Rattus norvegicus: one gene and its partners. The protein of the gene in region 2 purifies or fractionates together with the protein of the main gene of each other region. This does not show direct contact. Links are inferred from orthologs where the notes say so. Each region holds a gene or a part of one and is shown on either strand. Other genes may lie near its edges. The genes, in order: Polr2d, Rpap2 and Pfdn2.

Region 1 (10,513 bases), on a different chromosome or scaffold from region 2:
ATCTGCCTGCCTCTGCTGGGATTAAAAACACACACTCCCAGGCCCTGCAGTTTTGTGTCTCATTTGTTGAGTGACTTAATGATTATGTCCAATATCTTCTATACCAATAACACAGAATCCCAGAATACCTTTTAGGTCTGGGAGAAGTCCCATTTCCCATTGATTTCTCTAGATATAGTCACATGCTTGGCTACTCCCTACAGGAAGGCGAATTCTGCCCATTTCTAATGCTCCTCTCTGAGGTACTGGGAGCTCAAACTCAGTCCCAGACACGATAGGCAAAAAGTTCTACCACTGAGCTATATTCCTACCACCCTCTTCTGTTCCATATTCTTCCTGTCCTGGGGTATAAGACAATTATTCTCGGGTTGGGGATTTGGCTCAGTGGTAGAGTGCTTGTCTAGCAAGCGCAAGGCCCTGGGTTTGGTCCCCAGCTCCGAAAAAAAGAATAGAGGGAAAAAAAAAAGACAATTGTTCTCAGGCTTCCAAGATGGTTCAGCTAATAAAGGTTGTCTGCCACCAAATCTAACAACCTGAGTTTAATCTGGGAACCTACCTAGTAAACGAAGAGAAACTGTCCACTGACCCTCACGTGCTTAATGTGACATTCACAGGCATGCGTGTGTACACATGCACACAAACAATTAATGGGTAAACTCAAACTATTCTTAAGCCAGCATGCTCGTTCATGCCTGTAATCCCAGCCCTTGAGGTGAAAGCAGGGCAATCAAGAGCTCAAGGAAAGCCTTGGCTACCTGAGACTGCCACCAGCAAAGCACAAAACCAACCCCCAAGTCCCATCTCAAACACCACTCAACTACACTCTTACTCAACGCTAGCATGGCATCAACCCAACTGCTAAACGCTTACGACATGTGGATCTAGCAATCTGACTTAGAGAAATCCATATAAAATAGACAAACCCCATCCCATCCCGTACGAACCTTGGAATCAGCGCTTTGGACTCCTCAGCAGTCTCCGGGCACAGATTGGCTAAACAAGCCAATTCAAACTTATGTAACTTCTTCTGGAGAAGCAGGCTGAGTGTGAGGGAAATAGAACACAGGACGTTAGAGAGGGACAGAGACAGGAAATGAGCACGATCTATACTATACTATATACCTGAATAAAAATGTCACAATGGAACCTGTAATTACCTGCAGTTATATGCTAATACGAAACAAAAAACTACAGTCTCATTCAGTGCTGGTCAAATGCTAAGTCCATCAATAGCAAAAAGATCAAATGTAGGTGAGAAAAGGTATTTATAATCTTTGATTGTGGCTATATGGGCATCAGAATCCCCCTTTGAAATCACTTTCTGTTCCTACCCCAGAAAATCAAGACGTTCCAGAAAAAGAAAACAAAGAACCCACCGTAGACAGCCAAGAACCCTGAGAAGAGCACAGCTGGGTAAAGAGGAATGTATGTGCTGTAACTACTGCCAAGAAACCAGTAGTTGAGAGTTGCTCTTTTCAGAGGTCCCGGGTTCAATTTACAGTACCCACATGGTGGCTCACAACTGTCTGAAATTCCAGATCCACTGGATCTGATACCCCTCTTTGGACTCTGCCAGTACTAGGCACTTGTGTGGTGCAGAGGCAAACACACACATAAAATAAAATGCAATAATAAATATTCAAGGGGCTGGGGATTTGGCTCAGTGGTAGAGCGCTTGCCTAGCAAGCACAAGGCCCTGGGTTCGGTCCCCAGCTCCAAAAAAAAAAAAAAGAAAAGAAAAGAAAAAAAAATAAATAAATATTCAAAAGGAAGTGACTCTCTAGCTCTTTGCTCTATCTGCTACCTTTGATAAGTTAATGTTAAGCAATTCAGGAGATCTGATTGGCTAGCCTATTGCGTATGTTGAGGGAAACTCCTCTCCTTTAACTTTGAAATACCCCAAACTCTGTGCAAATCTGTGTGTAAGCTGCACCTTCAGGATCTCCATAGCCTGCACTATAAAATAAAGCTTACGAGAGAATAAGTTTGGTTTCCAAATGAATGTAGTAAGAACTTATATACTCTGGGGGACTGGAAAAATGGCTCGGCAGTAACAGCATCTGCTAATTTTCAGAGGACTTGAGTTAACAACTGCACTGGGTGGGTCCATGTGTCTACAACTCCTCTCTGGCCTCTGCTAGTGCTGGCACTGAACACACATGGTGCACATATATACAAGCGTGTATATACATATAAACAAAATAACAAAAAATGATTTTCTGTGCCTAATAGCACACATTCACAGCAGCCTGGTCTACACAGCATGCTCTTCACTAAACAGAGATACAAATCTGTCTCAGTAATAATAACGATGACAATAATATAAATTTTTTCTAAAAAACAAAAGACAGTGTGGTGTTCGACACCTTTAATCTCAAAACAGGTGGATCTCTGTGAGATAGAAAACAACCTGGTCTAATATGGAGTTCTAGACCAGCCGGGGCTAGATAATGAGACTCTGCCTCAAAAAAAAAAAAAAAAAAAAAAAAAAAAAAATATATATATATATATATATATATATACACACATATATATATACACATATATATATATCCAAGTTATATAAAGAAATCCCCTCTCCCCGCCCCCTCATGTGTGTGTGTGTGTGTGTGTGTGTGTGTGTGTGTGTGTGTGTGTATGTGTGTGTATAAAATAAAAATAATATTGCTGATGCCAAGTGCATACTGACTGGAGCCTGATATAGCTGTCTCCTGAGAGGCTCTGACAGAGGCAGATGCTCACAGCCAACCACTGGACTGAGCACAAGGTCTCCAATGGAGGAGTTAGATAAAGGACTAAAGGAGCCAAAGGGGTTTGCAACCCTACAGGAACAATATCAACCAACCAGATTCCATCCCCACAGAGCTCCCAGAGACTAAACCACCAACCAAAGAATACACATGGAGCGACCCATGTCTCCAGCTACATATGTAGCAGAGGATGGCATTGTCTGGCATCAATAGAAGAGGCCCTTGGTCCTGCAAAGACTGGATGTCCCAGTATAGGGGAATGCCAGGGCAGTGAGCTGGGAGTGGGTGGGTGGGGGAGCACCCTCGTAGAAGCAGGGGTTGGAGAGATGGGATAGAGGAGTTCCAGAGGGGAAACTGGAAAGGGGATAACACTTGAAATGTAAATACATAAAATATCCAATAAAAAAAATAATAAAATAAAAATGAATACAAGAAATCGTACCTGGAGGGCAGCGAGTGCATGATGGCATATACTAGTAACCCCAGAATTTGTGATGCAGTGGAGAAAATTTTGACTGAGTCAAGTCTGAGAGCCTTTTTTCTGGTAGGCAAAATTTGGGGGTGGGGGTGGGGGCTTCAAGCCCTTGATTACTTTTTTTTAACAGGTTCTATCTATGTAGTCCTGGAACTTGCTATGTAGACCAGGCTGGAGTCAAACAGAGATTCTCCTGTCTCTGTCTCTCAAATTCTGGGATTAAAGGCATACCCAGTTAGGGTTTTTTTGTTTGTTTGTTTGTTTTTCCCCTAAGTATTTGTGTGTGGTCTGTTTATTTAGCCATTTGTGTGTATGTGTAAGTGCGTAAGCATACATACTTAGAAGGCAACTTCTCATTCATTCTCAGAGCTTCTGGGTGCATCTGGGGTTCTATATAAGCTCAGGTCCTAAGACTTACCCAGAAAGCACTTTTGGTTGCATTTGTTTGTTTGTTCTATAGACCAGGCTGGCATCGAACTCAGAGATATGCTTGCCTCTACCTCCTGAGTGCTGGGTTAAAGGGGTGCACCACCACCTCTTGGCTGAAGCATGTTTTACCCACTGAGCCATCTCAGCGGCCCCTGCTTTGTTAGCATTTTTAAAACAGCGTCTCATGCAATCAAGGCTGGCTTTGAACCTACTATGCCCCTAAGGATGCCCTTGAACTCCTGGATCCTACAGCCTCTGTCTTTCACGAGAGTCTATAATAATAAAACCGTTTTGTAGGGCTGGAGATGCGGTTCAGCAGCTGAGGGCACCAGCTGCTCTTTCAGAGGACTTGGGTTTCGAGTCCCAGCACCTACACAGTGACTCACGACTGTCCGTAATTCCAGCCCTGGGGAGCTAACGCCCTATTCTGGCCTCTGTGGGTGTTTACACACATGGTGCACAGACATACAAGCAGCCAAACTCCCATAACACATACATAAGTAGATTTTAGTTTTGGGCTTATGTTCAGTACTCACCTACGAACACTGGCAATGGTCTCTCTGTTTTTGAACCGGCTGAAACGGGCTGTATAGTTCAGGGTTTTCATGAAAACCTCTGAAAGCTCCTGTTCGTCCTCCGCACTCTCATTCTGCTGCTTTCGGTGCTCCAGAAGCATGTGAACTTCAGAGTTCAGGAGCGTCTCAGCTGTTTCGAACTCTGGAAGAAGAATAAATGTGAACTGAAAATACTCTTTTCAAAGTCTCAGCATTTGGGAGGCAGAGGCAGGATGATCTCTGTGTTTGAGGCCAGCCTGGTCTATTATTGATGAGCTGTAAGATAGCCAGAGAGACTCAAAAACACCAAACAAACGAAACCAGAAGGCTAGAGAAATGAGCATGCACTGCTCTTTCGAAGGAAGTTCAATTCTCAGCACCCCATCAGACACCTCATAGCACCTCTCCCCTCCTCAGATACCTGCACAGACATAATTAAAATAAAAATAAATTTTACAACAGTGACATAAGGGCTGGAGAGACGACAGCTCCGCACTTAAGAGCATTGGCTAATCTTCTAGAGGATAAGGGTTCTGCCACACACAGCACCAACAAGATGGCTCGAAATCATCTTTTAAGTCCAATTAGTACATCTGGCTTCTATGGACACCTCACATGCATGCAGACCTACACGCAGGCAAAATAATCCTTATATATAAAAATTTAAAAACAAAGATTCTCCATCTCAATTAAAAACACACACAAAAGACAGAAGATAACCTCACTTGCTGGGGCTGGGCAGATGATTAAGTGGATAATGTACTTGCCACTCCAGTGTAAGAAGCAGAGTTAGGATCCTCAGAACCCACAAAACAGGTACAGAGGGTTCCTATATCTAACAGTTGGTAGGAAGAGACAGGGGATTGATTTCCTGGGGCAAGGTGACTAGTTTAGACTAGTTTAGTAGCAGGAACAGCACTATGCACAGAGGCTGGCACACATCCGACAAAAGGAAGTACCAGACATCCCAAACCGGAACCCATCTTGCTCTCAAACGTTCTTCCTAACTCGAAAAGCTACAACGAAGGTTCAGAAACCAACGGCAACAGCATCTCTCCTCAGAGGCCAGGGCAGAGAGCACTTCTGACCCACAGATCTTGAAACGCTTTGACTAGCACTGTGAGAGGAACCATAGCTCAGCTTTTACTGGCTGCCAATTTTGAAATGAGACCTCTGCTCCAGATCTTCTGCATGACAGGAAAAGGCATAGCTTAACTCCCCCTAAAAATCAAGAGCGATGGCGCATGCCTTTAATTCTAGCACTCAAGAGGAAAGGGCACGAATGTGATAAGGTGGAGGCTAGCCTAGGATACCTAATTAGACGCTCTCACAAAAACAAAACTGCTGGGTGTAGGGGAATTAACTACGAAAGGGTTCATTTGTACCGGGCTGACCAATCAATCCCCCGTGCCGGCCCCGAATGCTCCCTGTGGGCAGGGAACGGATAACGACTATAACTCAAGGACAATGTCACCTCAGAGTCGAACTGTCCCGGATACTACCTTTGGGAAAGATGAGCTGGGAAGCATCTTCTTCTACGTCGCCAGCTCGAGGATCGCTTCCACCTGCCGCCATCGCCCTGCGCACTGCCACAGACACTGCCGGAGACGGAAGCCGCACGGACGGGCTCTTCTAAGGAAAAGAACCAATCCGGCTCCGGGGTGGGGCCAAGTGAATGGGCGGGGCCGAGAAAGCGGGCGGACGACGGTAGGTCAGGCACCCTGCTATCACACTAGGGGAAACCCGCGAGACTGCCCGCGACAGGGGCGGTCCGGGCGCAGTCTAGCGGCTTCCGGTCGTTGGAGGTGTGGTTCTGTGCTGCCTGCTTGGAGATTAAAGTGTTTATTTTCGGCAACACACTATTGCCGTGGCACCTGGGAGCGTCAAGTAAGCCATTTCAGAAGAAAGTGAGGTGCAGGACTGAACTAAGTGGCTGATCCAAGGAATGTCCTATGTTGAAAAGCTGGGTAGGTGACTACAGAAACATACTGAAATCTCTTTCAATGATTGAATTGTGTCTTAAGAAAAAAAAAAAAAGACTAACCCCTGTGTGGTGGTAATGAATCAATCACTGAGCGCGAGGATCAAGAGTTGAAGGAGATCAGTTTGTAGTGGCGCATGCCTTTAATCCTAGCATGCCCGAGGCAGGCAAAGGCAGGTGGATCTTTTGAATTTGAGACTAGCCTGGTTTACAAAGTGATATAAAACCAGGGCTACATAGTGAGATCTTGTCTCAAAAAAAAAAAAAAAATTCACAAAGAGGCGTGGCTACTTAGCAAATTCCCAAGAATCCATGCCAGTTTAGGTAACATACCATCCTGTTAAATTGTTCCTGTGTATTTAACAATTCTGAGCAGGTGAAGTTTAATATTGAGAACCCTTTATCATATCTGTTGAGACATTTGAATAAGTAGAAAGCTAAATGAAAAAGTGATATTTTCAATTTAAAGAGAAACAAAAGTCTATACAATAAGGGGGACAAACACTTCTCCAGTTTTTGGGTCATTAGTGAACACTAGTAAACCCTGTAACTTAATAAAAAATGGGCTGGAGAGGTGGCTCTGTGGTTAACACTTGATGCTTTCAGAGGGCCTGGGTTCATTTCCCAGCACCCACACCAGATGGCTCACAAACACCTGTGACTTCAGCTACAAGGGATCTAAACCCTTTCTGGTCTCTCTTTTGGAGGTGAAACACACCATACACACCCTTCACATACACAGAAAATAAATCTTTTTAAAAATTGATAGAAGTATTTATTACAAGACAAGAAAATGTATTTTTATTATATATACAGAGGTGCACAGAAGAGATTAGAGGATAATTTTGTGGAATTTGTTCTCTGTTTCCAGTTTTGCATAGATTCTGGGGATTGAACTCAGGGCCTTTATCTGCTGCATGATCTCACTGGTCCAAGAATAGGTAGTCTTTTGGTTTGTAAATAAAATGAGTTTTACAAAACTGCTGTGTATCTATATTTGTAGAAGGAATGCATTGGTTAAAATAAATGGTTATATAGTATTGACAGCTTTTTAACCATTTCTCGGTGCTTTCCTGAACAGCATGTGAGAAATCACAACAGGGACTGGAGAGACCTCCCAGCAGTTAAGAGCATGGCTGCTCTTACAGAGGTCATGGATTCAGTTCCTAGCATCTACATGGTGTCTCGCACAGTCTATAACTATTGTCCATGGTGTTCTAGTGTGCAGACATACATGTAGACAAAATACCCATACTCATAAATAAACCTTAAAGCATAAGACCTTTATAACAGACATGCTCCAGCTTATCAGAACTCCTGCAAAGATATTCAGGGCAGTAGTTCATAGTCATACTGCACCTAGGTAGTAGAAATGGACTTGAGATTCAGTACACACACACACACACACACACACACACACATAATACACATACACATACATACACACATAATACACACATATACACATACACATACATACACACATATATACACACATACACATAATACACACATATACACATACACATACATACACACACATATATACACATACGCACATACACACACACACACACACACACACACACACACACACACACACACAGAGGCATGAAAGGAGGGAGGAGGAGAGAAGTCACCAGGCATAGAGAGAGAAAACAAGAGTAACAAAAACATAAAGTGACATTTCCCAGGTTGGCCCATGTGTACCATTTTCATTTAGGAAGCCATTATAAGCCATCTGTAAGTCCATGAGGTTAAAATGATGAGTAGGGTAAAAATCTGTCCCGAACATGAGCTCACTAAGAGTAGCGAGTGCAATATCTGACGGGTGATGTAACACAGTCAAAGAAGGTGCTAAGGAAAGATCAAGAGTCCGATGTTTGGCTGTAGTTTAAATGTGTCTCCTAAAGCTTCGTGTCCTGGAAGTCAGAACTGCGTAGGAGGTAGGGACTAGAACTGGAGAGGAGGTTCAGTTATGACAGTGCTTGCTTTTGCCAGCATGCGGACCCAGATTTCATCTGGGAGAAAGTTCGAGGGATATGAGTGGACAAGGAAAGGAAAAGCAGCCTCCCTTAGATTCCATGTTCACAGAAGAACATTTCTCATTGGGAGAAATGGCAGAGGAGCATGAGGACGGGCATCTAAACAGGAAGAGGCGATCCCAGGGGCCCCAGAAAATATTCAAACCACAGTCTACTCAGGAGTTCCAAGTGTTAGGCTTTTATTCCTTTTACTTCCCCCCTCTCCAGGGCTTGGTCTTCTGTCTGTCCCTGGTGTTCAGTTCTTTTTTTTTTTTTTTTTTTTTTTTTTTGGTTCTTTTTTTCGGAGCTGGGGATCGAACCCAGGGCCTTGCGCTTCCTAGGCAAGCGCTCTACCACTGAGCTAAATCCCCAACCCCTCAGTTCTTTGTCAGTATCAGGGCCACCAGCACCCTTGTTACAGATCATAAGAACCCACATAAAGTGCTCATTATCCCAGCCCTGAGAGGAAGAAGATATATACAATCCCAAGAGCTCTCGGGCCGTGTAAATCAAGGATGGTGAGAGACCTGCCTCAAAGAAATTGGATGGCATTCCTGAATAGGGATCCAATATCATTTTCTGCCATGTACATGGACACACGTGTACCTGCAGACACATGAACATCCATACACAGAAAGAGAGAGAGAGATGTCTTGGTGTCTAAAGGCACTTTCTACTAAGCCAGAGGAACTGAATTTAATTGGTAGGAGAAAACCGACTCCCAAAAGTTGTCCTCTGACCTCCATACATGCACCAGAGGCATATATGTGTGCATACATGCAAACTATAAAAATTGCTTTAATGAATTTTTAAAAAGAACTGAGGTCTAGTGGGATGCCCTTAGATATTGGGGGCATGGCCTTAGGAGGAATTAATGTATTTTGTACTCTTTGCACACCAGACCGTGCATCTCACCTTTATCATGTTCTCTTTCCCTTTTATATCCATGATGCCATGTGAAGGGAGGTCCTCACCAAAGCACCATGCCCTTCAACTTTCAGAACCCTGTGGTTCTGCAGGTTAAGCTTGATATGTAATCCTGACTGTCAACTTGAATGGCTTTTATCCACTGAACTTCATCTTTGCTCTTGTCAGGGATTCTGGCATTGTAAAAATCTGAGGGAGAAATGCACTTTTTGCTCCCACATAACACAGCTAAATGTCTTGATCATCTTGATTTTTTTTTTGGTAATTTTTTAGATTTGTTTATTATTTTGAATGCATAAGTGTTTTGGCTGTGTGTATGTCTGTGCACCGCTTGTGTGCCTGGTGCCCAAGGAGGTGGTGAGCTTCTGGGTGGGTACTGAGAATTGAGCCTGGGTCCTTTGAAAGAACAAGTGTTCTCAACCACTGAGCCAACTCTCCATCTTGTTAAGGATGGATTTACTGGCCAAGCAGGGGTGGTGCATGCCTTTAATCCCAGCACTCCGGAGGCAGAGGCAGATGGATCTCTCTGAGTTCAAGGTCATGCTGGTCTATGAAGGGAGTTCTAGGACAGCCAAAAAGCCTACACAGAGAAAGCCTGTCACAAAAACAAACAAACAAAAATGATGGACTTACTTTAACAAAGATTTGGAAAACTTGTCCTCCCAGGTACTGAAGTAAATAAGCAAGACATGACCAGAAAGACTTTCTCAGGAACATAATAGTGTCCTGCTACCTTCTCATGACTACAGGATGGAAAGCATCCCGGAAGTTGTGTTGCCTCAGGCAGAGCAGGTCTTTAAACTGAAGATCTGATGGGGCGGCAAATGCAGATGGTTCACTATAGTTGAGATTACGTAGTGAGTTCTGGGCCAGCCCAGGCTACATAGTGAAACCCTGTCTCAAAGTAACAAAACCTTCAGCTCTCAAGCCAGTAAGATGACTCTGATCTCATTGCTACCAAAGATCATGACCTGAGTTCAGTCTGAGACCCCACATGGTGGAAAGAGAACCAGTTCCCAAAAGTTAGATGCTCACACAGGTACAGGCACACAGATACACAAATTAAACAAACAGCCCAGGTCTCTGGACTGGGATATAACTCAATGGTAGAGTACTTGCCTAGCATGTGAAGTCTTGGGATCAATCCTCAGAAAGACACCACACACACACACACACACACACACACACACACACACACACACAAAGAAATATCAAGACAGCCTAAACTTGGAGGTTTTCAAGCCTAGATGTCACAGATTCTTTGGAGAATCACACAAAACTTCAAGTAGGCTCCATCCTTTTGTATCTCTGATTACATTAATAACGAAGGGAAGGGTTACATGAGCTGCATGGTCATGTGCCTTTCGTTGTAC
Region 2 (9,825 bases):
TCAAGCCAAAGCTCAAGTTGAACTGAGGGAAACTCATGTTCTTGAGTGTGAAACGACCTAGGACCATGCGGCTGTGCTGAACAAGCCAACCAGCTGTGTCAGTGTTCAGTGGTGTGGCAGTGTCCAGCGGTGTGGCAGTGCAATGTCCAGTGGTGTGTCAGTGTTCAGTGGTGTGGCAGTGTCCAGCTGTGGCAGTGTCCAGTGGTGTGGCAGTGTCCAGTGGTGTGGCGGTGTCCAGTGGTGTGGCAGTGTCCAGTGATGTGGCAGTGTCCAGCGGTGTGGCAGTGTCCAGCGATGTGGCAGTGTCCAGCGGTGTGGCAGTGTCCAGCGGTGTGGCAGTGTCCAGTGGTGTGGCAGTGTCCAGTGGTGTGGCTGCGTCCAGTGGTGTGGCAGTGTCCAGCGGTGTGGCAGTGCAATGTCCAGTGGTGTGGCAGTGTCCAGTGGTGTGGCAGTGTCCAGCGGTGTGGCAGTGTCCAGTGGTGTGGCAGTGTCCAGTGGTGTGGCAGTGTCCAGTGGTGTGGCGGTGTCCAGCTGTGGCAGTGTCCAGTGGTGTGGCAGTATCCAGCTGTGGCTGTTCGCAGGGGCAGAGCGCCCTTGGCTTGTTCTCTATTTCTTGGCTGGCTTAGGAAGGCGTGGGGTAGTTTGCTTTTCTATTCTACCGTCTCACTTTTCCCTTTTATGACATTCCTATGTCATCTACAAAAACAATTTATCTAAAGATATCTGAAAAAAATAAATCTTAAAATGGAAAATTTTCAAGTGAGGAAATTCATGCAAGCTTTTCAAATCATTAAAAAATGTTCAGAATTCAAGGATAATATTCATAAATTGCAAATTCATGAAAATACTGAGTTAATTTAAATCTCTTAAAAAGCTAAAATGACATGTCCATACTTACACTTTGCTCAATTTTTCAAGAACAATCCGTCTTCTAATCTGGTTCTGGGAACTCGAATCAATCAGGGGGAAGCTGGGATCACGCTGAAGCTCATTCTGAAAGCAGACAGAGAAATAAACTTGTTTTTAATGACCGGAGCCATAACACTGAGTAGAAACATTTGCTCCTCTAGTGTAGGAAGAGACTTGAGAACTGAAATGTTTAAACCTGAGCATCGGCATATGTCACCATCAGGTGATGCCCTGCTGGCCCCTTTGCCCCCTTTGGAAGGCAGTGGTCTCCTCTGTAAACTACCAAACTCGCTATAAATTACACTTAAGGATTAACATCAGTACTTGTACCTGGGGGAAAGCATTTCTAGGAAAAGGTAAGGTCATTCCAATGAACTAGGAATGAGAGCTGAAAACAAACAGCCAAACCAAACCCACTTCACTTGTTGGCAAGCAGCACAAAGCTAGCAAGGCAGTAAGGAACTGGACTAGACCAGGAGAGGGTAACTCAGGAGAGTGCTGGGCTAGACCAGGAGAGGGTAACTCAGGAGTGTGTGCTAGGCTGAGCCCCTGCAGAGGGTAACTCAGGAGAGTGCTGGGCTAGACCAGGAGAGGGTAACTCAGGAGAGTGTGCTAGGCTGAGCCCCTGCAGAGGGTAACTCAGGAAAGTGCTGGGCTAGACCAGGAGAGGGTAACTCAGGAGAGTGCTGGGCTAGACCAGGAGAGGGTAACTCAGGAGTGTGCTGGGCTAGACCAGGAGAGGGTAACTCAGGAGAGTGTGCTAGGCTGAGTCCCTGCAGAGGGTAACTCAGGAGAGTGCTGGGCTAGACCAGGAGAGGGTAACTCAGGAGTGTGCTGGGCTAGACCAGGAGAGGGTAACTCAGGAGAGTGTGCTAGGCTGAGCCCCTGCAGAGGGTAACTCAGGAGAGTGCTGGGCTAGACCAGGAGAGGGTAACTCAGGAGAGTGTGCTAGGCTGAGCCCCTGCAGAGGGTAACTCAGGAGAGTGCTGGGCTAGACCAGGAGAGGGTAACTCAGGAGAGTGCTGGGCTAGTCCTGGAAGAGACAACTCAGACACTAAGGACCTCAGCAGAGAGTTTTCTAATGGAATCATAGGTCAGGGGATGCCCATGAAGGCGGGTTATGGGTAAAGCTTCCCAGTTGGAGGACAGACTTGGAAGGAATACACTCTGTAGCAAGGCTGACTCTTGAGGACTGCTGCCACCATTAAGTCCCCTCGAGTCCTGATCAGGTCATGGTGACGTGGGTTGCTGGGAATCTTGAGAGGTGAACAGCTCCATCCCTAGAGGATGATAATACTATCCTGAATCTCAGGTTAGGGTCTCCAATGCGCACAGACTGGCTGCAAAGTCGTGATCCTGCCTTGGCCTTCCAAACACTGGGGTTACAGGCACACACTGCCAAGTTCAGCTTACAGCATGTTAATAGACAATGTTTGATGTCTAATAAAATAAGACAATAGTGAAATGATATTACTGTTAAGTGCTATATTATATAATGCATATAAAGACATTTAACATCTTTGAAGAAAATGGAGTTGAAGCTTTTAGCAGACAGTTGGAGCCATGTGAGAGAGCTAGCAGACGCAGAAAGGACAACAGCAGTCAAAGCACTCATTGGGCAGTGGTGCGCAAAGCTCACATTCTCCCTGCTGACCCTGGGACCAGTGTCCGACATGGAGCACAATACCTGTGGCTGGCAGTGGTGGCAGCTGGGTCTCTGACAATGGTGAGGGAGTGGTGAGCATTTCCTCATGGAAGGCCTATACCAGGAGCTGCCACCACCTCCCTCTTGCTGCGTGTGGCTGTAGTGTTGGAGTTTGTAAGAGACGGAAGGCTGGCTGCTATGGGGAGCAGCCTTGAAGTCACCACTCAGTGCTGGGGGACTTTTCAGTGACACAGTTGTCTACGGAGCCTGTGAGTAATCCCAGCTCAGTCTTACGGAGTGAACCTAGATGGGAGCTTTCCTTGGATTTCTTTTCTACCGGGAAAGTCACGCAAAAGCTCATGGGACACAGGCTGGGGACTCAGGGCTAATGCATGTATGTAGTGTGTATGCACCATGAACTACAGGAATACCCACGAGCATGGATGTCTAGAACAAACCAAACTGAACCACGTGGTATTTATTATGACAAACTAGGCAACAAAGAATACAGGTTGAACCACGTGGTATTATAACAAACTGGGCAACAAAGAATACAGGCTGAACCACGTGGTATTATAACAAACTGGGCAACAAAGAATACAGGCTGTTCAAGAGCTGGCAAGGTAGTCTCCACTACTGTGTATGAGTAAACTGCAAACAGGCAATGGCCAGGGACAGACACTGATGCTCAGGTCTCCTTATAAGGAAGCACCTCCTGGTCTGGGGAGTGACGTCACAGGTGCTCAGTGTAAATATTCGACAGTCTGGACACTGATATTAAATGCCAATGAAAAAGCTGTAAAATGTTCTATAACAAAGTCACGGGCTTCAGACACTTAATTTTCTTTTTTAAGGCTTTGTAGTATGGAAAAACAGTGAGTGATGGTGGTTTATGCAGCTCACTGAAGAGACTAGTGTCCCTTCTAGCTTAATATAGGTTTGGATGCCATCTGATATTAGTACTGAGATTTCAAGTATGGTCCCAAGCCAGGCGAGAGTTCTGTAAAGGTGCAAGAAACTTTTTTCTAGCTCCACTTTCCCTCTCCAAATCTCTAGGTGCAACATCATGTCTTACACCTTAATAACAATTATACGGTAGAAATAGGCTGTTGCCCACTCTTTTCTGCATGCCATATGATTCCCAGGTAGTGCACATGAACCAAAACCATGAATGGCAAGGCACACAGCCCTCCTCCCTCCCTCCCTCTCAGCATGCACCCTGCCTGTATGTGTAACGCCTGTGAACCATGCTATCAGCAATGCCACACGCTCCGAACAAATGAAGGATGCAAGTCCATCTACAGATACGTGGTGTCAAAGAGCTAACTTTAAGAAGCTAGCAGATGACAGAGTGGATAATCAAATATCCATATCCATTTCTTCCCAGGAAGTTCCTTTCCTGTATTTTCATCTGTAACATTTTATCTTGCAAGTTTGTGAGGTGTTTATACATGTGTATGCGTGTATTCATGGGCATGTGAGCTTGAGAGGTGTTTATACATGTGCATATGTGCATTCATGGGCATGTGAGCTTGTGAGGTGTTTATACATGTGCATGTGTGCATTCATGAGCATGTGAGCTTGTGAGGTGTTTATACATGTGCATGTGTGCATTCATGGGCATGTGAGCTTGTGAGGTGTTTATACATGTGTATGCGTGTATTCATGGGCATGTAAGCTTGTGAGGTGTTTATACATGTGCATGCTGCATTCATGGGCATGTGAGCTTGTGAGGTGTTTATATATGTGCATGTGTGCATTCATGGGCATGTGAGCTTGTGAGGTGTTTATACATGTGCACGCGTGTATTCATGGGCATGTGAGCTTGTGAGGTGTTTATACATGTGCATGCTGCATTCATGGGCATGTGAGCTTGTGAGGTGTTTATATATGTGCATGTATGCATTCATGAGCATGTGAGCTTGTGAGGTGTTTATACATGTGCATGCTGCATTCATGGGCATGTGAGCTTGTGAGATGTTTATACATGTGTGTGTATGTGTGTATTCATGGGCATGTGAGCTTGTGAGGTGTTTATACATGTGCATGCGTGTATTCATGGGCATGTAAGCTTGTGAGGTGTTTATACATGTGCACACGTGCATTCATGGGCATGTGAGCTTGTGAGGTGTTTATACATGTGCACATGTGCATTCAGGGGCATGTGGAGGCTGGACATCAATGCTGTGTGTCTTCTTCTATCACTGTTCTCCACCTTAGCTTTTAGATATAGTCTCTTACTGAACTTGAAGATGTCCCCTTAGACTGGCTGATCAGGGGCTACTGGAATCCACCTTCTCTGGCCATGCTGCCTAGCAGTGTCTAACAGATATACACATAGGTAAGCTGTGCCTAGCTTTTATGATTGCTAGGAATCTGAACCCAGCTCCTCAAGCCTAGGTAGCACATGCCTAATCTAGTAAGCCACCCCCCAACCATGTCTGTAACATTTCAAATGGACATGCTAACTACACGTCACCTAGACAAACATCTAAGCAACCGATCTGCTCTGTGAGTTCTCGAAATATGAGCAGCCTAAAACACTTATCATGAAGACCTACCTCTTTTGAGTCCTGAGACTTGGTACTGTCTTCATTTAAAACACAGCGTCCTCTGTAGAACTCCCTGACCCTCAGGTTCAACATCTCTGTTTCCTTTTTCAGGCTCTCATAACTTGGCAGTGGCTTAATGGCTGTATCTGAGCCTCTGAAGGGGAGTGTCTCATCCAAGGTGTTCTGAGCTTGACAGCTTATGTCATCTTCATCAAGTTCTTCATCAGGCCCAGAGGCTGCAGAGGGTTGCAGGCACACAGAACCATGGTCTTGGCCATATAAAAACTTCAGTGTTTCGTCTGTCTTCCATTCAGTCAGGGTGTCCTTTAGAACTCGGAGTAAATTTGCCTTTGCGACCTCAGGACGCACCTGCACCAAACCAGAGGCTGACCCAGACCCTGGGTTAGATTTGGCAAATTTGCTCCTGAAATGCTCAGCACTCTTCTTGCTTATCCCCACAAGAGTAACTTGTGATACACTGTGTTTATTTTCAGAAACTGTTGAAGTATTTAATCTGTCACACAAAGGGCCAGGTGAAGAAATCTGAGTGTTTTCTTTCTTTGCAGGAAGTTTACAAGTAGCTACTTTCTCCTGACTATCTAATCTACAATTAGACAACTGCTCCGTGACCTCTGACACGGTCTGTTCTCCGTGCTTGGAGGTCATTTTCTGAGCAGCCTTCTTCTTCACGGTGCTGCTTTGTCTGTGTGGCTGTGGTTTTGTGCCCACGGCCTTCGGTCTGTTTCCTGGGAGAAGAGAAGAAACAAAGCCTGGCCCCTCCTCATCGCTGGCACGCTCGTCGCTGGCACGCTCGCTCCAAGTGCTGGAGGAAGCAGGTTCACACTGTGCATCAAAGGCACCATAAGCATCGACATCTGCTGCTGTAACGGCGTCTCTGAAGAACTGTACGACCTCTCCAGAACAGCCACTGTACAGGGAGAAACCGTCAAAACCATGTCAATGGAAGAGGAATCTTCACACAGGTACACTCCGGATGCCGAAGGTGAGAACTGCTGGCCTTAAACAGCCTTACGTCTTATACTCTGACACTTAGATTTCAGAAGGCTTTCCTTTCCCCATGTCTAATACACGTGTGTCAGAAGGCTTCTTCTGCTTCCTTCTGTTTGATCCTAACATTTTACAGTTCTTAAAGCAGTGCAGTAAAGACTGTATCCTATCCGACAATTTTGTTGCCTGAAGAAAAGATTAATATTTTCTTAATTCTGCCTGGCCATTATACAAAAAATTTCATGTAATGAAAAAATACAAAAGCCACAACAGAAATGAAGTTGGCACATCAGCATGGTTCAATGGATGCTATTTAAATCTGAGAGCTCACAAATACAAACAAAATGGTAACAGCTGTCCCTGATTGCACCCTTTGTCTTTGAGATTCAGTTTAAATCAGATTAAGAATCCGGAGCAAAGGCAAAGCAGGAGCTGCTCTGGTTCGTGCTGGGACAAGCAAGCACACTTGTGAGAGCTCTGCTGCCTGGTCTAGGAGCACGCGGTGGGAAGGAACAGAGGTCACACTAGACAGCGAGACTGAAAGCAAGTCTAGTGGGAAACTGATCAGAAACTGATCGATCGAGATTCCAAAGTTCAGAGTCAGTCTAGGGGGAATCCATAAACTGATCGATCGAGATTCCAAAGTTCAGAGTCAGTCTCGTGGGAATAGAGAAACTGATCGATCGAGATTCCAAAGTTCAGGGTCAGTCTAGGGGGAATCCAGAAACTGATCGAGATTCCAAAGTTCAGGGTCAGTCTAGTGGGAATACAGAAACTGATTTGAGATTTCCAAAGTTCAGGGTCACATACAGTTTTTTACTAGAATCTAACCGACATCATTAGGCAAGTGACTTTTGGATAAGAAGAAAAGAAAGTTTAGGGGTTGGGGATTTAGCTCAGTGGTAGAGCGCTTGCCTAGGAAGCGCAAGGCCCTGGGTTCGGTCCCCAGCTCCGAAAAAAAGAACCAAAAAAAAAAAAAAAAAAAAAAAAAAAAAAAAGAAAGTTTAAGAAATTCCACTAGGGGGGTTGGGGATTTAGCTCAGTGGTAGAGCGCTTGCCTAGCAAGCACAAGGCCCTGGGTTCGGTCCCCAGCTCCGAAAAAAAGAAAAGAAAAAAAAAAAAAGAAATTCCACTAGGGAGGACATGGGTTCAATGCCCAGCACTCAGGTGGTTCACAACTACCCTTAACTCCAGATCCAGGGATCCAACAGCTGACCGCCCAGTGCCCACCAGGCAAGCATATATATATATATATATATATATATATATATATATATATATATATATATATATATATATCTCACATCAACATACACGCAGGCAACACTTACACATATAAAAAAAATGAAATACATAAAAAAAGTTGCCTTCCAGTCTCCAACTGTGCTCCAGAGCTAACCCTGTGGCACAGCTCTCCACACCCGAATCCATCCTGGAGAGAACTGGTCTCCCAGGAGTGCTGACACACCTAAGATCACAGGCTCACAGGCCCACAGGAGGGACAAGCTCTAGTCAGAGACAGCAAGACCAACTAACATCAGAGATAATGGCGAGAGGTAAGTGCAAGAACATAAGCAACAGAAACCAAGACTACATGGCATCATCAAAACCCAGTTCTCCCAGCACAGCAAGTACTAGATACTTTAACACACCTGAAAAGCAAGATTCGGGTTTAAAATCACATCTCATGATGATGATAGAGGACTTTAAGAAGGACATACATAACTCCCTTAAAGAAATACAGGAGAACAGAGGTAAACAGGGGGAAACCCTTAAAGAGGAAACACAAAAATTCCTTAAAGAATTACAGGAAAACACAACCAAACAGGTGAAGGAATTGAACAAAACTATCCAGGATCTAAAAGTGGAAATAGAAACAATAAAAGAAATCACCAAGAGAGTCATCCCTGGAGATAGAAAACCTAGGAAAGAGATCAGGAGTCATGGATGCAAGAAGAATCACCAACAGAATACAAGAGATAGAAGAGAGAATCTCAGGTGCAGAAGATACCACAGAAAACATTGACACAACTGTCAAAGAAAATGCAAAATGCAAAAATCTCCTAACTCAAAACATCCAGGAAATCCAGGACACAATGAGATCAAACCTAAGGATAATAGGTATAGAAGAGAGCAAAGATTCCCAACTTAAAGGGCCAGTAAATATCATCAACAAAGTTATAGAAGAAAATTTCCCTAACTTAAAGAAAGAGATGCCCATAAACATACAAGAAGCCTACAGAACTCCAAATAGATTGGGCCAGAAAAGAAATTCCCTCCAAATGCACAAAACAAAGAAAGAATATTAAAAGCAGTAAGAGAAAAAGGTCAAGTGAACATATAAAGGCAGACCTATCAGAATTACACCAGACTTCTCACCAGAGACTATGAAAGTCAAAAGATCCAAGGTAGATGTCATACAGACCCTAGACCAGAGAACACAAATGCCAGCCCAGGCTACTATATCCAGCAAAACTCAATTAACATAGATTTAGAGACCAAGATATTCCATGACAAAACCAAATTTACACAAATCCAGCCCTACAAAGGATAATAAAAGGAAAACTCCAACACAAAGAGGGAAACTACACCCTAGAAAAAGCAAGAAAGCAATCTTCTTGCAAGAAACCCAAAAGAAGAGAGACACACAAACACAATTCCACCTCTAACAACAAAAACAATAGGAAGTGACGATCACTATTCCTTAATATCTCTTAACATCAATGGATTCAACTCCCCAATAAAAAGACACAGACTAACAGACTGGATATGTTAAGAGGACCCAGCATTCTGCTGCATACAGGAAATGCACCTCAGTGACAAAGACAGACACTACCTCAGAGTAAAGGTCTGAAAAAATATTTTCCATGCAAATAGTCCCAAGAAAGAAGCTGGAGTAGCCATTCTAATATCGAATAAAATCAACTTTCAACCAAAAGTTATCAAAAAAAAAAAAAAATAAGGAAGGACACTTCATACTCATCAAAGGAAAAATCTACCAGGATGAACTGTCAGTTCTAAACATCTATGCTCCAAATGCAAGGGCACATTCCACATTCATAAAAAAACTTTACTAAAGCTCAAAGCACACATTGCATCTCACACAATAATAGTGGGAGACTTCAACGCCCTACCTTCATCAATAGACAGATCACGGAAACAGAAACTAGACAGAGACACAGTGAAACTAACGGAAGTTATGAACCAAATGGATTTAACAGATATCTATAGAACATTTCATCCTAAAACAAAAGAATACACCTTCTTCTCAGCACCTCATGCATGGTACTTTCACCAAAACTGACCATAAAATTGGTCACAAAACAGGCCTCAACAGATACAAGAAAACTGACATGCGTCCTATAAGATCACCACAGACTAAGGCTGGTTTTCCAAAACCAACAACAACAAAACAACAGGAAGTCCACATACACGTGGAAGCTGAACAATGCTCTACTCAGTGATAACTTAGTCAAGGAAGAAATAAAGAAAGAAATTAAAGACATTTTAGAATTTAATGAAAATGAAGGCACAACAAACCCCAACTTATGGGACACAATGAAAGCTGTGCTAGGAGGAAAACTCATAGCTCTAAGTGCCTCCAAAAAGAAACTGGAGAGAGCACACACTAGCAGCTTGACAGCACACCTGAAAACTCTAGAACAAAAAGAATCAAATATACCCAAGAGAAGTAGACAGCAGGAAATAATC
Region 3 (10,462 bases), on a different chromosome or scaffold from region 2:
GCTATGCAAACATTACCCCCCAATTTAAAAGCATTGGTTAAATAAATGCGGCTACAACCAATTACCGGGAAGAACAGAGAGAAGTGGAGCTTGAGTCCCAGGGCTGGGGTCACAGGTAGGGACCACAACGGAGAAGGAGAAATGAGAAAGAAGGGGAAGGAGGACAGAGAGAACAGAAGGTCTCCATTAGTCATGATGGACCAGCAGCATGTGCCAGGACAAAATGCCTCCCCAGAACACCAGAACACCAACTACTGGAGCAGAAATGACCCAGGAAGAGTTCAAAAGCAAGTATCTGAGGTCCACAGCTGGGGAAGAAGCAATCCAACCATTAGAAAAGTAGATGAGGGCTAATCCCCAGTACCTGCCAAAGCCAAAATAAAAAGTCACAGTTTGAGTCCCTCTCATCTGTGAGTGAGGTAGGGATAAGAATGACCCCCTTTTTTACTCACATCTCTCTGTAACTCCAGTTCTGGAGTTTCTAACATACAGACATACATGCAGGCAAAACACCAATATTCATGAAATAAAAATAATAAAAATAAACTTTAAAAAAAGAAAAGAGGGGCTGGAGAGATGGCTCAGCGGTTAAGAGCACTGTCTGCTCTTCCACAGGTCCTGAGTTCAATTCCCAGCAACCACATGGTGGCTCACAGCCATCTGTAATGGGATCTGATGTCCTCTTCTGGTGTGTATGAAGACAGCTACAGTGTACTCACATACATAAAATAAATAAATAGGTCTTTAAAAAAAAAAAAAAAAAAAAAAAAAAGAAAAGAAGTGGGGCTGGAGAGATGGCTCAGCGGTTAAGAGCGCTGACTGCTCTTCCAGAGGTCCTGAGTTCAAATCCCAGCAACCACATGGTGGCTCACAACCATCCGTAACAGGATCTGATGCCCTCTTCTGGTGTGTCTGAAGACAGAGACAGTGTATTCACATCTATAAAATAAATAAAAATAAATCTTTAAAAAAAAAAGAAAGAAAGAAAGGAAGGAAGGAAGGAAGGAAGGAAGGAAGGAAGGAAGGAAGGAAATAGAGCCTGAAATCTAATACAATTCACAGGCTGTCTATGTACAAAGTGGAAATAGGTCAAGACAGTGGCCAGTAAGATGGCTCAACTGGTAAGGGGACTTTGCAGCCAATCTTGGCTACCTGAGTTTGATCCCAGGATGGACAAGGTGGAAGAAGAGAACAGCTGCTGCAAATTGTCCTTTGGCCACCACATGAGCATTGTGGCATTTCCACAAACACAAAATAAATAAATGCAAACCTGTTTCCCTCCCTTCCCAACCTGCCCCCCCCCAAAGAGGTTTACCAAGCAAGTGCACAAATTAGCACTGACAGAGAAAGCTGAGTGTTACTATTTACCATACAATGACAAAAAACGTTCCGAAGGCATTTTGGAGACCCTGGCTGTCTTTCCAATCATGGAACCAAAAGCTAGGGTCTTAAGGGCAGAAAGAACTCACAGCCCAGTATACCTAGCCTCTGCTCCTCACATCCCAGCATGCTCCATTATTTATTCAAGTACAGCTTGTACTGCAGCTGGAGAAAGCATTACTAGCAGTAACCTGTGGTAGTATCTATGCCTCGTGGTGCTAATTCTGGAGGCATGCAGAATGCAAGAGCTGTGGAGAAATGGCTTCCTCTACCAAAACTTCACAAGATGCACTGGACTGTGGGAGGTTAAACAGGGGTGCAAGGAAAACCCTGATGTAGGAATGGGAGCTGTCGGGGAATCCTCACTGGAACAAGCCCTAGGCCAGGCAGCCACCATGATCTCTAATAGTACAGCAACTGTCAGTGGACAGTGCCTAACCGGGCAAGCTGCAGGCACTGGTATGCCCCCAGCCCAAGTGCATGAAGCATGGACTGTGCCCTGTGGAGCTGTCTAGTATTTTAGAGGCCCAATTCCTGCCCCAGAGTTTCCAAATGCCATATATAGGGATAATTTATCATAGAACGGTAAGACCATGCCTGCCCTCTCGGAATTCAGACTTAAGGCTTTAACAGTAAAGCCTCCTCCTGGCTTTACTTCTCTCCTTTAGAACGGGAATGTCTACCCTCTGCCTGCCTCTGCATTACATGATGAACGTGCATATGCTACTCTCATTGCACAGGCTCACAACTGACCCTGGAATTTTGAGTTAGTACTGGAACAATGTAAGACTCTGGGGACTACTGGGACAGAATGATTGTATTTTACATTATAAGGTCATGAGTTTGGAGGGTAAGGGGTATAAAGCAGTGTTTGAGTAGGCTCTGTCCTCTTCGAAACACCTGTTGAACTTTGACAAGTGACAGGAATTTTCTTGTCTTTTTGAGATTCACACTGGCCTCAAATATGCTATTTAGTTGAGGATGAACTTGAACTCCTTTTTTCTTTTTTTTTTTTTTTTTTTTTTTTTTTCCCGGAGCTGGGGACTGAACCCAGGGCCTTGCGGTTGCTAGGCAAGCGCTCTACCACTGAGCTAAATCCCCAACCCCGAACTTGAACTCCTAATCCTGCCTCTCTACCTCTCCCCCAAATACAGGGGATCTCTTACAGGCGTGTACATCACAATCTACTTTGCAGCAGGGCTTTTCAGTTGTTTAGTTCATTATTATATGTGTGTACATAATGTTTATGTGTCTCGATTTGGGGGAGCTAAAGAGATGGCTCAGCAGCACTTGTGGCTCTGCACCTACATGGAAACCCATAACTATCACTGTCTCTAACTCCAGAGGATCCAATGCTCTGACCCCCACAGTCCAAGGTCACCAGGCACGCATGTGGGTGGCTGGCTGGCACATGCGCACACATGCACACGCACACATGCACGCGCACACGCGCACATGCACGCGCACACGCGCGCGCACTCACTCCTCCAAGTGCTGTGGTACACCTGGGAGATCAAAGCAGGAAGAATGCCACAAGCCCTAGACTAGCATGGTCTACATAGCAAGTTCCAGGCTAGCCAGGGCTACAGAGGGAGATCCTCTCTCAGATAAAACAGCAGCAAACCAATAAACAATAAATAGAAATAGGATAAACCGAAAATAAAACAAGGGCCTAGTAGAAAGTATGACCTGCTCCTATCTTCCTTGTGAAAGTCACATCAGGCTTGAATTTGTATCAGTGACAAACACTTAAATTGGGAAGAAAAGTTCCACAGGTAAAGAACCAAAGAACCAGAGTTTGAGAACTTGGGGGGTGGGGGAGGTATGGTATTGAGGCATGAACTGCCTGGCAATGGAATGCTAGGGAACTTAAATTCTGAGGCTTGTTATCCAAGTGCTGGGGAAGAGAGGGTCAATGGACTCTCTGGCCAGCCATCCTAGCCTGGCTGGTGAGTTCTAGGCCACATGAAAAAAACTTGTGTCAAAGAACAACAAGGCTGACTGTGTCTTCTTCAAGTCTTGCAATACAGCTCTTTTAAATCTTCCAGCATTTCCAAGGCCGGGCAGTTCATGGCTCAAGGCTTATGAACACATTTCTTCTAACGAAAAAAAAAAATCCTCACATTGACTAACTTTCCTCAGCCTTTAGAATTAAGCTGAAGAATCCTCTAGAAAATAAAAACAAATTAGCATTTAGAAAGATTGTTCAGATCATGTGCATGTATGTATGTGTTTGTGTGAGATGAGGTGCTCAAGTGCAGAAGCCATCTCTCCACCCCTAACTAGCATTTAGTCAACACACTCTGTAGTCTCTGTTTTTTAGTCATGGTGATGGGGGGGGAGGGTGTCGAATGAATTTTCTTGCCTAGTACACTAAATAGTTATGAAATGGGAAGTACATGTTTTCACAGATAGAGGAGGGTAAAAAGTAAGAAGAGAAATCATGTGCAGAAGTTTTTGGTGTAAGGACTGGAGCAATGGCTCGGTGGAAGAACTGTTACTTCTATAGCAGAAGGCCTGGGTTTGGTTCTCAAGACCCACATGGTAGCTAATAAGCAGTTATCAGGGGCTTGGACCCCTCTTCTGGCCTCCAATGGCTCCTGCACAGGTGTGGTACATGCACACACTCAGACATGCAAATATACATAACATATTTTTGAAGTCTCGTTGTTTCATTTTTATTTGCCATTCTGTCTGTCTTGTTTGTTTTTGAGATTGTGTTTCACTCTGTAACCTAGGCTAGCCTGGAACTGAGAGGGTAACCCATTGGGATTATGGGTATGAGCCATCACACTTGGCTGTGTCCAAATTTAAGATAAAGTCTATTTCACTTACCTGTTTCTCTGTGTTAAGCAAAGTATAACACAAGACAGACTCTCAAAAGCTTTACTTTTTTTCTTTCCCACTGTCAAGGTGCCTCTTCCATCCCCAGAATGTCACTTCTCTTTGAATACTTACTTTCCGACTCATAGTAGAACTGTAAACCCCACTTCAACAGACGATGCTCTCCAACAGTATGGGTTTTAAACTATTTCTGCTGATACTTTTTTTTAAAGATGTATTTATTTATTATATATAAGTACACTGTAGCTATCCTCAGACACACCAGAAGGCATCAGATCTCATTACAGATGGTTGGGAGTCACCATGTGGTTTCTGGGATTTGAACCCAGGACCCATGGAAGAGCAGTCAGTGCTCTTAACGGCTGAGCCACCACTCCAGTCCCTATGCTGATACTTTTACCTGCAGTGATTGCTCAACAAGCAACTGACAAATATATGATTAAAATAGCTCTTCAATCCCAACCCTGGACCTCCATACCAGGTGAGAACAGACACCCACCCAGACCCCACACCTCAAGGCTTTCCCATTTAACCCACCAAACTACACCCCTAGCTTCAACTATTTTCATTTCGATTGTGTGTTCTTCTTCTTCTTTTTTTTTTTTTTTTTTGGTTCTTTTTTTCGGAGCTGGGGACCGAACCCAGGGCCTTGCGCTTCCTAGGCAAGCGCTCTACCACTGAGCTAAACTAAATCCCCAACCCCAATTGTGTGTTCTTCTAATATCAATTAAACACTAGTCCCAAGACTAACAAAACATGGTCCCTATACCACAAAGGGCTTTCTGATTAATTCGTCAGATGTATCCCGATGTTATGAAGAGCAGAATCACACCTGCATTAGAAAATGGTTTCTAGCCTCTTCTGAAAACTTAAGTCTCTGCAGAAGGGAGCATAGAGAGTGAGCTGGACCATGTCTCAAAAAACGAAAACAACCCGAGCCAGGAATAGTAGTCCCAGATAATCCCAGTATTTGGGAGGCAGAAACAAGCGAATCTCTGTGAGTTCCAGGCCAGCTTGGTCTACATAGTGAATTCCAGAAAAGCAAGGCTACATAGAGCGACCCAGCCCGACCCTATAGCAACCCTCATCCCCACCCCAAGACAAAACAAAAACAAAACAAAACAAGAAAATAACTAAGCCACAGTCTCCTTAGTCCAAATAGTTACTGAACACTAAACTGGTCAGAGTCTGAGTCACGTGGCTCTGCAGCGTGTTTGTGATGGTGAACACGGTTTTGGAGTCAAAGACTAAATAACCCACTCACTGACTAAGAACAGCCTGGGATTCGTTACTAGATGACACTTCAAACACCATATTCTCTTTAGGGTACCTCGTAGAGGGGGAGACGACGATCCATGTCCTTAGGGACCTGGACAACCCTCCCAGATCCTGCATCTAAGAGCTTTCTCTCTCGACTACCCACCCACACCCCGGGCGTGCCTCTCACCTACCTACCCCACCTACTCACGCCCTAGAAAGGATTGTGATCACCCCCAAAAACGCCCTCTCCCCTGTGCGTGACCACGGAGAACGTGGGAAGGACTAAAGGCCCCTCTGAATCACAAGTCCTTTTCCTTGCACGAACTCGACACCGACCCAGGTGCCTTCTACGCTCGCGGTTCCTCACCTGTTCCGCCGACACCGCCCCCTTCCCCGTGCCACTCCCGCCGCTCTTGCCCACACGACCGCTGCTGTCCGCCATCTTCCCCACCTGCAAGCTTTCCGGCCTGCGCACTCCCACTGCGTCACATCCGCTCTAGTGGTTACCGCCCACTTGCTCCTGCGCTTCTGGCTTCTGGCAGCTCTTCAGATCCGACCCTGCGAATGGTTTTGGCTGTGTCTTCATGTAGGACCTACTCCCCAACCCTGCCTGCTGCGGTGAATTCCACCTGCTATGCTTTAACTTGTGCAACAGAGATTCTTGCCCCGGGGAGAGCCGGGGAAGGACGCGCTAATCAGAGGGCGGGGGCTCGGGTTGGGATCTGATCTTGTACCCATCTACCTACCCACCACGAGAATGGTGGAGATCTAAGGAGGGTGAACTTTCCTTCTGAGATTCTGGTACAAGGGGAAAGATACATGTTGAGTCTATAAAGCTGTCCAGGTGGCACAGCCGAGAAGAGAGAATTGGGGAAACGAGGAAGGTTCCATGAGATGACTTGAACTGCGGAAACGTTTGGCAGAGGAAAAGGGCTTCAGTTTTAATGTGAGATCACTGGAAGTTGAGGTATTAAGGCACCGATCATAGTGTCCTCTTCCATTTTCCCATTTTATGATCTCATAACTACTAGTAGTAAAGTGTTTTCGAAGCCTTGGGGGAGGGGATTACTGGCCAGGTCTGGAAATGGCAGAGAATTCTAGAAACTTACAGCTTGAAGGAGGGTTAGGTGTCCTGATTTTTCACCTTCTTCAGGCTGGGCTTCATCACCAGGCCTCCTCATCAACTCCTGTCCCTTCTGTGTACCGGATACCGATTACCTCAAATCTCAGTACTTTGTACTCAGCCCAGGTAACATATTTTATGTTCTTTGTCTAGCACGTAGTTGCTAAGTCCATGTTTATTAACCGAATAGTGGACCTGCCATCCACCAAACATTTAATGCGTGTACTCCAGTAGCTTAGGGTTATTTAATGCTCTGGAAGAATGAAAACAAGTCGCTAGGGTTGGTGGGACACACCTCTAATCCCAGCACTCGGGAAACAGGCAGGAGGATCAACTAGGAGTTTAAGATCATCCCCGCTACATAGAAAGGTCTGCCTGGGCTACAAAAAGACCCGGTCTCAAAGGGGAGGTAAAATCAGAAAAAAAAAAAGTAAGTTTCCGGCTCCACCCCCACTTGAGCCTCCCAAGTTTCTCCGCGGCACGCGGTAGAAATCCTGAGAAAACTGCCTGTGTCATTCACAGGCCCAGAGCCATGGCAGAGTCCTCATCGACTTCCTGGGAGCTGCCCCTGGTGGCTGTGTGCCAGGTAACATCAACACCAAACAAGCAAGAGAACTTTAAAACGTGTGCTGAGCTGGTTCAAGAGGCTACCAGACTGGGCGCTTGCCTGGCCTTTCTGCCTGAGGCATTTGACTTTATTGCACGAAATCCTGCCGAGACATTACTCCTGTCCGAACCACTGGATGGGGACCTTTTGGGACAATATAGCCAGCTTGCCAGGTACAAGGGTAGGGTGGGGGTGGGGAGGGGTAGAATCCCTGTTGGGCAGTGTTCCTGGATTGCCACATAGAGGGGGTAGAGTTGTCAGTGTCCCTCCCCCTCAGGGAATGTGGAATCTGGCTGTCCTTGGGTGGTTTCCACGAGCGTGGCCAAGACTGGGAGCAGACTCAGAAAATCTACAATTGTCATGTGCTTCTGAACAGCAAGGGTGAGACTTCACAGTCCTTCAGCTTGCCTCTTCCTAGGCTCATCTACCTTCTTCCAACTCAGATCTTCAGCATTTTTCTCAACTGCTTGGCTTTAGGGGTTTTTTTGTTTTGTTTTGAATGCTTCTGTTCTTAGCCTAAAAATTACTCTTTGGGAGAAGAGCTAAGCTGGACTTCCAGTGTCTGTACTGAGCATTTTCTCTTACTTTAGGATCAGTAGTGGCCAGTTACAGGAAGACACATCTATGTGATGTAGAGATCCCAGGTCAGGGGCCTATGAGAGAAAGCAACTATACCATGCCTGGATACGCTCTTGAACCACCTGTCAAGACACCAGCAGGCAAGGTAGGAGTTTGAAAAGAAAATAGGAATATGTTGAAAAAGTTGTAACATCTCCCTTTGGTGTAGGATGATGGAGGTAGTATTCAATGTTACGTTGACCAGGACAGGGAAGATGAGTGGGTTGTTTCTCGTTTCAGGTTGGTCTAGCAATCTGTTATGACATGCGGTTCCCTGAACTTTCTCTGAAATTGGCTCAAGCTGGGGCAGAAATACTTACTTATCCTTCAGCCTTTGGATCTGTTACCGGCCCAGCCCACTGGGAGGTAGGAGAATGCCTCTTCATAACATATAGGCCTCCTTTAATCTTATTTTTAGTAGTGGGGACAGAGTAGCACAAACCTAAACTCTAAGCACTTCAGGGGATAGCCACAGGTTCAAAGCCAGCATAGTGATGCCTCGAGTAAAACAGAAAACAAAATAGAAGCTGGGCAGTGGGGGTGCACACCTTTAATCCCAGCCCTCAGGAGGCAGAAGCAAGTGGATCTGAGTTCAAGACCAGCCTGGTCTACAGAGTAGGTTCCAGGACAGCCAGGGCTACACAGAGAAACCGTCTCAAAACAAAACAAAACAAAACAAAACAAAAGTAACCCACACCACCCAAAATAGTGGTGCATGGTGGTGTGTGCTTTTTATCTCCGCACTGTAAGGCAGAGGCCGGCAGATCTCTGTGGGTCCAGGCCAACCAAGGTTATACAAGGAGACCTTATATAAAAAAATACAAAACACAAACACACCCCTCCCCTTCTACTTGAAGGATTTTCTTCCCTTCCGATCTGGTGAGGAAATTCGTTTCTTAGATAGGTGTGAGTCATGTTATAGTTAGTTACTAATTCTAGTTGATCAATAGTCAATGAGTAGATTGGGCCCACAGTGTCCGCTTCTTGTCACTCGCCTATTAAATGCTGTATGTTCCTGAGTACGCACGTCTCATCCTCAGGTGCTGCTGCGGGCCCGCGCCATTGAGTCTCAGTGCTACGTGATAGCAGCAGCACAGTGTGGACGCCACCATGAGACAAGAGCAAGTTACGGCCACAGCATGGTGGTTGACCCCTGGGGCACAGTGGTGGCCAGCTGTTCCGAGGGACCAGGCCTTTGCCTTGCTCGAATTGATCTCCACTTTCTGCAACAGATGCGCCAACACTTGCCTGTGTTCCAGCATCGCAGACCTGACCTTTATGGCAGTCTCCTGCCACTCTCCTAATGTTTTTAATTTCTGTTGGTTGAGACAGACAAACACACGCCAACTGTGAGGTGATGCTACCGTGACTTGTAGGCTGGACCCAAGCACGGTTCCCTTCACTTGCAGGACTTAACTCTCCTAATGGAACACAGGCTCAATCAAGTCCATGGGAAAGAAGAGACTTTGACCTGATCTCAGATTTCAGTTTCAGAAAAATGAAATTTTATATAGTCACTGTTTATTTCATGAAAACTGAAGTTGTGCTGAGGGCTGAGCAGCACTGGCATTGAAAAAAAATATAATAATCAATCATAATGTCTGGACATCTCTTTTGGGGCTGGGAAGGGAGGTGGAATTGTACCTGCTCGACTAGGCTTCTTAGTCTCCTGGCTCAAACGTGCCTCCCTACCTAACAAAGTGCAATGCTCAGTGCATGGACCAGCTCTGTTCTCCCAAGTGTGGGAGAAGGGAGGATAAAGGAACAGGAGGAGGAGTTGATGCTAAATACCCCACTTTCTCTCAAGCCAGAAGGAAGCAAAGGGACAGGGCCCTGGGTGGGGTAAGAGTTTGTTATTTTCACTGGAAAAGGGGAGGGAAATGTCACGCCCCCGCCCCTTCCTTTTCAGAGAAAGTGTACTCTAACTAGCAGCCTCTACTCCGCCCGTCCCATGTAGTGGTGTTCACCTACACATCACGGTTGGGAGGGGAAGTAGGCTGGCACAGCCCTCCATAAGTCTGCTGAAGATCTGACAGAGGAAGGAGGGATCCACACCAGGCAGCAGTCTCAAGCTATGGGATGAAGGAAGGCGGAGAGGAGCAGCACCCGAGGCCAGGAGACAGTGCAAAGGGCCACAGCTTCTTTGTTTTTAAAAAATTCTATAATTTGGAAGAAGGTGGTAATTAATTTCCAAAATACACTTCAGAGTCCCACCTTCCACATAGCTCCTTTACTCACAGCCCTTTGGTTTTTCAGACAAAATTTATGAGCCCTCATAAAGCCATAAGTATTGATTACCCTTCAATGCACCTGAAAGCAGTGTTCAATCCCTTACAAAGGCTATGTTCCAAAGACTCTGTCCCTATTCACTTGTCTTACGGCTCAGTGGTAAGGTGGCTGTAGACACACATTAGGGTAAGTGGCAACAGGAAACGGGGAAGCCCAGGCACATGGGTGCAGGGAGGGCAGGGACACCACTTCCACCTTCCTTTGTCTTTTCCTTTAAAAAAAAAAAAAAAAAAAAAAAAAAGGCGGTGTGATTGGTTGGAAAGGGTAGAGAACAAACCCCAGAACAGTATGTCGGCTCCAGAGGTGACGGAGCAAACAGTCCCCAGAAAGGTGAGGCGGGG

Evidence for each region.
Region 1: the proteins of Rpap2 (region 2) and Polr2d purify together in Homo sapiens (affinity purification with mass spectrometry; 5 studies listed by BioGRID and IntAct, counting the BioPlex papers as one, with this or other methods). This does not show direct contact. The link is inferred for Rattus norvegicus from reciprocal best matches to the Homo sapiens genes RPAP2 and POLR2D.
Region 3: the proteins of Rpap2 (region 2) and Pfdn2 purify together in Homo sapiens (co-immunoprecipitation; 3 studies listed by BioGRID and IntAct, with this or other methods). This does not show direct contact. The link is inferred for Rattus norvegicus from reciprocal best matches to the Homo sapiens genes RPAP2 and PFDN2.

What each region holds. Positions count from the first base shown.
Region 1 is NC_086036.1:23,687,903-23,698,415, reverse strand, and holds the start of Polr2d (DNA-directed RNA polymerase II subunit RPB4), read right to left. Parts: upstream 5,839-10,513; 5' UTR 5,784-5,838; coding exon 5,711-5,783; intron 4,372-5,710; coding exon 4,191-4,371; intron 1,041-4,190; coding exon 945-1,040; intron 1-944. UniProt on the Homo sapiens protein: Core component of RNA polymerase II (Pol II), a DNA-dependent RNA polymerase which synthesizes mRNA precursors and many functional non-coding RNAs using the four ribonucleoside triphosphates as substrates.
Region 2 is NC_086032.1:2,297,427-2,307,251, forward strand, and holds part of Rpap2 (RNA polymerase II subunit B1 CTD phosphatase Rpap2), read right to left. Parts: intron 6,035-9,825; coding exon 5,116-6,034; intron 994-5,115; coding exon 899-993; intron 1-898.
Region 3 is NC_086031.1:86,301,302-86,311,763, reverse strand, and holds the start of Pfdn2 (prefoldin subunit 2), read right to left. Parts: upstream 5,937-10,462; 5' UTR 5,927-5,936; coding exon 5,852-5,926; intron 1-5,851. Other genes in the region: Nit1 (deaminated glutathione amidase), read left to right, coding at 6,069-6,070, 6,638-6,733, 7,130-7,387, 7,492-7,595, 7,805-7,938, 8,073-8,198, 8,873-9,136. UniProt on the Homo sapiens protein: Binds specifically to cytosolic chaperonin (c-CPN) and transfers target proteins to it. Binds to nascent polypeptide chain and promotes folding in an environment in which there are many competing pathways for nonnative proteins.